2 linked regions of the Daphnia pulex genome follow. Each later gene encodes a partner of the first gene's protein in a complex. Links are inferred from orthologs where the notes say so. Each region holds a gene or a part of one and is shown in the gene's direction. Other genes may lie near its edges.

Region 1 (4,270 bases):
TACTTTAATATCGAGTCTCTCAGGTAAGGTTTAAACACACAAATTCTGTGCCACTCAGTCTTCTGGTTGACATCTCCTTTAGGAAAACAAATCAGTTTAAAATATTTTGAATTAAATTTCAATTAACAAACCATTGGGATAACTATAGTTTGAGTTTGTAGCCAAAGAAAATGTAACAACTGGATGTTCCAAAGAACCACGTTTAACAGGATTTGAGCCAACTCTACCCAACAGAGTCACCGAATTAATAGCTACATAAAAGAACATTAGAACCTAAATACTATATAAATGAATGTAATCTTTTAAAACTAACTTTTTTCCACACCAACTGTAAGAGGGGTAGTTTCGCCAGTGTTGTTGTTTGTAAGGTGAGTTCTCCATTCATCAGAATCAACTTGTTTGCGACATGACAAATATATTTGTCGACTCAACGCAAATCTAGACATATTTGAAATGAAACGACTTCCTGATTTCAACGTTAACATTTCTTTTCTTTCTTATTTATCTGGAGAGACGAAGAGAAAAACTGTATTTTATTTTTTTAAGATTACACTTGTGTTAAAAAAAATTTCTGGATTTTGAGGAGTTTGTTAATTATTACCAATAACAATGTTGCCACATAAAACAATCATTCCATACCAGATCCATAAAAATCAAAAAAAAATTTCTAAATTAATAATCTATATCTTTTTTATGAGTTTGAAGATAGCTATGATTGATAATGATAAAACGAGTTCTCATTACCGCAGTCATTGTATTTATCGATAAAAATTGAAAATGTGCCCTTATTAACCAGGAGTATGGAGAAATGGTTGCCACTTGCCAATGATCATGTTAAATTTCCTATAAGGGGATTCGACGGGAAGCTACTTTTTTACTAGCGATTTTGTATGGAGGTCGAGTTGAATCAACGCCATCTAAGACGTTGCGACATATATACAGTCAACTCGACCTTTGAAATGGCCCCTTTGAATGTCCATATGTCGCAACAGCCTAGATGGCGTTGATTCAAAGAGGCCACCGTATCATGTCCATACAAATGTCGCTAGTAAAAAAGTAGCTTCCCGTTGAATCTCCTTATGGGAAATTTAACATGGTCATTGGCAACATCTCTCCATACTCCTGTCCATACCCATGCCTTAACCTGATTTAATACCCAGGACATAACGTGACCTGGGTTATTTTACATGATGCAAGCCTCAAGCCAGTCAAGCGGGACGGTAAATTTTTTTTAAACGCCGATCAGGCTCCAACCCCATTAAGGAAAACAACCGCTTAATAATTTGACTGATATAAGAAGAAATCCGTCCCAAAAGGTCCGGGCCACAGCGCCAATGGGATCGGGATTCGGGATACACTCTGGGGATACATAAAAAAAAAAAAAAATGAAAGCGAAGAACTACATAAATATGGCAGCAGAGCGCTGTTTGTTAGGGCTCCGTTTCGCGCCCATTTCTGCGCAGAACAATAAACCAAGTAACTTGTCAAACAGTGTTAAGCACACAGCACAGGGAGTCAGTTATTAACATAAACCGATTCTGTTAGGCAGTTATCCATCTACGATTTCCTTTTAACATGGCTCTGAATCCGGTAGATTATAACGCGCAAAAGGGTAAATTAATATCTTATTTCATTTCTATATTGGAATTATTTTTTTTTTTGTTTTAGAAAAAATTAAAACGTTTTTCGCCGAATTTCACAAAGTGGGAAAAAACGGTAAAGACTTCAAATATGCCACTCAGTTAACTAGAATTGCTCACCGTGAGCAGGTAAAGTAAAAATACATTCGCAATCGTAAATTTATTTTAAAACAAGATTGTTGTAGGTTGAACTAGTGATTGATTTGGAAGATGTTGCTGAGTTTGATGATGAATTAGCAGAACAGATAGTTGACAATGGTAGACGATACACTTTGCTGTTTGGGGAAGTTGTTCAAGAAATGCTACCCAACTATAAAGAGCATGATGTTGAAGCAAAGGATGCCCTTGATGTCTACATTAATCATCGCCTGATAGTTGAAAATCAGCACCAAAATGATGAACCAAATAGACTGCACAAGTATCCTCCAGAATTGATGCGCAGATTGTAATCTACACTAATATTTTCTTGAAATAATTAATGTCTTCTGAAGCAATCATTTTTTTTTAGTGAGGTTTATTTTAAATCTCCTTCTTTGCAGAAGGCTATACCCATTAGAGAAGTAAAAGCTGTTCATATAGGTAGGCAATTTATTATTCAGCTTAGTGATAGGCTTCTAAAAAAGTTTTCTGTACACATTCATTCTAGGTAAACTAGTGACAGTTCGTGGCATAGTAACACGTTGCACTGAAGTGAAACCAATGATGCAGGTAGCAACATATACATGTGACCAGTGTGGTGCTGAAACTTATCAACCTGTAATTTCAAAGAAGCTTACACTGATGTTATTTTCCTCTAATTCTAAATATGGTATTTTCTCTAGATTAATTCAACATCTTTTATGCCGCTGTTGATGTGTCCCACTGATGATTGCAAAGTGAATAAGAGTGGTGGTCGCTTGTATCTTCAAACTCGTGGCTCTAAATTTGTCAAGTTTCAAGAACTGAAGATACAGGAACATGTAATCTGATATTTAAAAAAAAACTTAAACTTTTACTCATAATGTAACCATTTTGTTTTGTCAAAAGAGTGATCAAGTGCCGGTTGGCCACGTACCGCGGTGCTTGACCGTCTATTGTCGGGGCGAAACAACGCGTTTGTCTCAACCTGGAGATCATGTCAGCATTACAGGCATTTTCCTTCCTATGTTGCGAGCAGGTTTTCGTCAACAAATGCAAGGACTTCTTTCCGAAGCTTATGTCGAAGCACATGTAAATATGTTAGAACTCCATTCTGAATAGTGTTCATTAGCTCTTAACTGTTTGCTGACAGAGAGTAGTTAGGTTAAACAAAACCGAAGATGACGAAATGAGCATGGAAACTCTGACAGAAGAAGAACTGCGTCAAATCGGCGAAGAAGACTTTTACGAGAAGCTTGCTACAAGCATCGCACCAGAGATTTACGGACACGAAGACGTTAAGAAAGCGCTGTTGTTGTTGCTTGTTGGTGGAATTGATCGAAAACCCAATGGCATGAAAATTCGTGGAACGATGTAAGGCTAGTTTCTTTTTATATAAATGCATGTTTTCTAAAAAAAATCATGGAATCATAACAGAATAGGAATAGTATTAAATTAATCTAATTATTTTTATTTATCTTACGTCACAGCAATATTTGTCTAATGGGAGATCCTGGTGTTGCAAAGTCACAGCTACTGAAGTTCATCGATCGTCTAGCCCCAAGAAGTATTTTAAATAGCCCAAAATGTACGTTTGAAAACAATAATAATAATTTAAAAAAAAAAATAGGTCAGTATACCACAGGACGTGGATCTTCTGGTGTCGGTTTGACTGCTGCCGTGCTGAAAGATCCAGTTACGGGTGAAATGACCCTAGAAGGAGGAGCGCTTGTGTTGGCTGATCAGGGTGTCTGTTGCATTGATGAGTTTGACAAAATGCCTGAGTCTGATCGTACGGCTATCCACGAAGTCATGGAACAACAAACTATTTCAATAGCCAAAGTAAATTCATCAAAACACTAATTTAAAATTAAGTTTTTATTTAACTTACCATTAATATTTCAGGCAGGAATCATGACTACACTTAATGCCCGTGTTTCCATACTAGCAGCTGCCAATCCCGCTTATGGTCGATATAACCCAAAAAAATCTGTTGAACATAATATTCAATTACCAGCAGCCCTTCTTTCGCGTTTTGACGTTTTATGGTTGATTCAAGATCGCTCAGACAGAGAGAATGACTTAAGGTGTAACTTTGGTTGTCTTAATTCCTTATTGAGTTTGATCTGTTACTTATTTGCCTTCTTACCCATTGAATCATTTGGCAGACTGGCACGACATATTACGTATGTTCATCAGCACTACTGTCAACCTCCTACACGCGTGCAGCCGCTTGATATGAAACTAATGAGACGGTATATTGCTCTCTGTCGTCAAAAACAGCCTTCTGTCCCAGAACATTTGACCGACTACATCGTCAGTATGGACACATCAGATTTTCCTATTAATACTAGTTGAATAATTAAAAATATTTTATAATAGGCGCTTATGTTGAAATGCGTAAAGAAGCAAGAAATAACAAAGACATGACATTCACCTCGGCCCGTAATTTATTGGGTATTCTGCGTTTATCAACAGCATTGGTAATTATACTTATGTTATTTACGCCATAT
Region 2 (4,042 bases), on another chromosome or scaffold:
CCGTGCCTCTTGACACGCTCAATGTGCAAATCAAACAGCAGCTTGTTGGGCGTGTAGTAGTGAGGGTTGGAGTGAACATCCATGTCTGGTGAATAGGTGTCATCGTGAATAAACTGTTGATGCTGGGGAGTTCTTTCACGTGACATTTCATTGGGAATGTTCAGCAGGTCTGGAAGAGGAAGTGCTTGCCGAGTGATCCCATAGAGATTGGGGTTGCACAAGGAACATTGTATCACACTGCTGGAAGTGCTTGGTTGCAGACGGCATTCACAGATGGAAGATCCAGTAGGCTAAAGCAAACAACACAGAATATGAATTTAGCCAATGATTGTACTCCATGACCTAGAAAACTTACAGTGTATGATGGTGTGGTTTCCGAGTTCAAATTACTACCATTTAAATGCAGGTTGTTGATTCTTTTAGACAGTGGCATGAAGTCACATGCATCCGGATCACCATCACTGAGTTGACGTTTTCTCCTGTGACTGATGGTAAGGAATCACTGACATTGTTTGTATAGAAAGCATGGGAAAGCAGATTTACCATCCAGTCTCATTGTTATAATCAGATTCGTCCATAGTATTAAACGATATTGAAAAGCCTTCGATTAATTCGACGTTGTCCTTTTCTTACGAAAAAAAAACTTGTAATACGTTTACAAGACTTCAAAGATCCATATGACCTCCTAGGAAACACAAAGAAATGCATTCAATTCAATTTTAAACAGGATATCAAAAGTGTATAGGCATACAGACACAGAATATGGTTTTCAGATACTTTTGGATCTGAGCTGAGCAGAGACAAAGGAATACCACGAGTTTAACTTAAACTTTTTTTAACGTTAAGGCCTCGTACTTTCGTGTTTGTCATGAAACGTGAAATCATTTCCAACGGGAAGTTGTCTGCTATTAGGGGATAAGATTCCGATATGAAATACGCATCGCCCAAACCATTGAAATACTAAAAAGTAAAAACGCATAAAAAAATTTATTTTAATTTATTTCAGTCTCCTATCATATCTTAAAGCTTCCGCTGCTTTTAATTAAATTTTTATTTGGTGATTTTGAAAATGCTTGAAGCCGCCTTTCGTCAGATGACTGAACTTAGCAGAAGAAATGGCGCTCGTGTTCAATTCTTGTCCACAACTCGTAGAACGAAACGTCCGACAAGATATCAATCAAGTGTTGAATAATAGTCTTATAAATCTGTGGTAATAAACTAAATAAAGATGTCAGGGTCTGTTTGGAAAAAGCCTGACGAAGTTATGAGGCAGATGAGGGATAAGAAAAAAGCCCTCCAAGCACGATTCAGTCATGCATCCACCACGACAGCAACAAATAATTTAGATAATGACGAAGCCTTGGCCCCCACATCGTCCTCGTCAGCAACTGCCTCTGTAAAGAGAAAGAATCCTTTCAGGTATAGTGTAAAATGATGGTATTTTCTCGTCAAAAAATGTCTAACTGTTGCACATCTTGACAGACGCTCCCCAGCCAAGAGGCCAAAACTTCTTACAGTCACTCAAGATGACCAGAGAAATGCAAGTGCCAATGTAGATTTCATGAGCATGTTAAATGCCCCCAATGTAAAAGCTGATACCAATAAAGAGTTGGCTGTGGAACTACCGCAAGCTCTGTCAATATTCACTGCAGTAACACCTGTTTGCCAGAAAGTTGATCAGTGTCCTGTTGATTGGTCCTTAAAGACCAGGGTACGCTTCACCTCCAAATCACCTTTTGCCTTCAGCTCTACTCTCAAAGTATGTTTATCTATATCAAGCAACAAAAATACCAGATTTTATGATTCAGCTTTTCGTCGCAGACGTCCGAGGAGGCTTCTGGAATCACAGGTTTCGTGAGATGCGTCAGCTCTCTCAAATCCGACGAGTGGAGCACGTTGGACACGTCAACAAATGCGCAATTTCATCAATGCTGCTTGTTGTGGCAATATCCTTGGCTGCCTTGGTTATCTTTATTCCCTCGGGACACACGAGCCCCTATCACTTCCACCAGCTCTGTCCAAATCGGCATGGACTCGAGCGTGTCAAATTGCCTGATCAACGACTGGTGTGAAAGCTTTCGCTCTCTTTTCGGACTATTGCGCGCGAGGCAATGCCCATTCTTCTATGTCTGTACTCATCAATTCACCGTTCTCTTTCGAGCTGCTGGAATAGGAGGAGTTGCAGAAATCCATGCTCTATTAACCCCTACCACGCGTGGGATGCGAGAAGTTTTGCGACGAGAAGGTATTAAGGACAGCGATATTTAGTTCATTGGATAAAATCAATCACATGTGTGCCAGGATTGAATGACACATCCATTTTTTCTTTTTTTTTCTTAGCGTTAGTTTGCTATTACGTTTGCTTTTTTATTCTTCTTTTTACTATGCAAAACTTTGAATCAAGAATATTCCATAATTGAATGAGATTTCTAGAGAGAAAATTCGTAGAAAGTACTAGAAGACTTTATAAAACTTGATTTCTTGGAACGTATCAGTTACCATCCGGAGATCGTATTACGATCGTGGTTTCCGATTCGAGTACAAGAAAACAAAAACAAGAAGAAACTTTTGAAAGTGTCTAGAATTTCATTTTCATCTTGATATTTTAATATAGATATCTCATACTCGATGCCGTTGAAGAAAAGTGGTCAAGATCAAACGAACCCTGTGAATAATGATGAAGATGATGAAACCAAAGAAGCTGACAAAGTTGGCGATCTTGATGACGAAGATTGTGACGAAGATGATGCTGACTGGATCAACGATATCGGCCTGCATTCAAATCTCAGATCAAAATTGTGAGACTAATTAATGATTTGCAGATTTTCAACATAAATTCAAATGTCGTTAACATTTTCGTAGGGAGGCTGAAAGGTTGCAGGATGGAGGGCAAGGAACAAGCCAAGGCACCTATGCGGACTCGCTCCTTTTGATCGAAGGTGTTGAGACGCAGGGACTGTTCAACTGGCTTCTAAACAGCAAACTGTGTCTGTCCAGCACTGGCCCATTGACTGGAATTCCTCCAACTCTATTCAGTCCCGTCGCTTTCCATCAGGCCACACTCCGACCCCTCAAGGTAACCGAGTGTCAAAGCATTTCGAAATCTACCATTTCACAATATTGTTTTTCTACCCAAGGCCCGACAAGGTTTTCTGAAGCAAGACGGAGAAAATCTCTACTCCATCGAAGTTCAGGGTCCGATCCTACCCCACTCGATGGTATCGCTAATGAAACTGCTGCAAAGCAGCGATTTCACGGCTGTCTGGACTACGCTATCCAGCACCAAGCCCTTCGCATCATTCCAAAGTTCGACCGCCGCCACTTCTGCATTCGGTAAGGAAAGTTTGAGTGATTGTGGTCTTGACCGGACGAGCCTCGATCTGTTTTGCTCATCACAACTCCCGCCATCCGCTAGCGAGATCCGCTTTCAAGATGGATGTTTTTACTTTAACTAAGAGATAGATCTCTTCTCATTTTTAAAACGTCGAATAAGTGTGTTTTTAAATCATGCTCACTCTACAGTCCAGTTGAATAACAAGTCTGTCAAGAAATCAAATCTTGCCAAATCATGTTATCTTACGACTGATCTCATAATGGTACCATATAAAATGTGAACTTATTGCCGAATGCAATGAATAGATAGTAAAACAATGATTTGGACGAATGTTATGTGACGTTGACTCTGGAAGGGGATATTAACGCAAGTTATGACCATAACTGAATTCTTGTTTGATCAGAGTTAATTGCAATTTTTATCGATTGCGCATTAGCTTGAATTCAACATTCAAAAAGTGGTCCGATAACGTAAAAATAAGAGCTAGAAATTTAAGGTTTTATATAATCACAACTTTTTTCAGTCTGTTCACGGTCCAAGGATTCAACAAGCCAGTCGTGGGAGTGCTTGTGGGGTCATTGCGTGCGATAATACGTAATTAAATCAGTTCAGTATGGCAAAGAAATGTCGTCTCTGAAATAGCCTGTGATTGCAAAATCGTGAAATTATATATTTGTTCGTTGACTTTAAAGCAGAGCAAAATCACTT

The links. Proteins that work in one complex are often made in the same cells at the same time.
Region 2: DNA replication licensing factor mcm7-like (region 1) and protein downstream neighbor of son homolog share a complex: the UniProt entries of both Homo sapiens proteins name them as parts of the replisome complex. The link is inferred for Daphnia pulex from reciprocal best matches to the Homo sapiens genes MCM7 and DONSON.

What each region holds. Positions count from the first base shown.
Region 1 is NC_060025.1:5,067,346-5,071,615, reverse strand, and holds the start of DNA replication licensing factor mcm7-like, read left to right. Parts: upstream 1-1,459; 5' UTR 1,460-1,575; coding exon 1,576-1,612; intron 1,613-1,668; coding exon 1,669-1,769; intron 1,770-1,825; coding exon 1,826-2,085; intron 2,086-2,148; coding exon 2,149-2,219; intron 2,220-2,286; coding exon 2,287-2,396; intron 2,397-2,461; coding exon 2,462-2,599; intron 2,600-2,666; coding exon 2,667-2,849; intron 2,850-2,910; coding exon 2,911-3,131; intron 3,132-3,247; coding exon 3,248-3,324; intron 3,325-3,387; coding exon 3,388-3,599; intron 3,600-3,662; coding exon 3,663-4,077; intron 4,078-4,139; coding exon 4,140-4,240; intron 4,241-4,270. Other genes in the region: single-stranded DNA-binding protein, mitochondrial-like, read right to left, coding at 1-76, 132-251, 314-485. UniProt on the Homo sapiens protein: Acts as a component of the MCM2-7 complex (MCM complex) which is the replicative helicase essential for 'once per cell cycle' DNA replication initiation and elongation in eukaryotic cells.
Region 2 is NC_060027.1:2,499,408-2,503,449, reverse strand, and holds protein downstream neighbor of son homolog, read left to right. Parts: upstream 1-1,228; coding exon 1,229-1,419; intron 1,420-1,482; coding exon 1,483-1,759; intron 1,760-1,791; exon of another isoform or gene 1,792-1,821; coding exon 1,822-2,245; intron 2,246-2,614; coding exon 2,615-2,798; exon of another isoform or gene 2,799-2,799; intron 2,800-2,862; coding exon 2,863-3,076; intron 3,077-3,137; coding exon 3,138-3,455; 3' UTR 3,456-3,654; downstream 3,655-4,042. Other genes in the region: uncharacterized protein LOC124208003, read right to left, coding at 1-290, 356-485, 544-578. UniProt on the Homo sapiens protein: Replisome component that maintains genome stability by protecting stalled or damaged replication forks.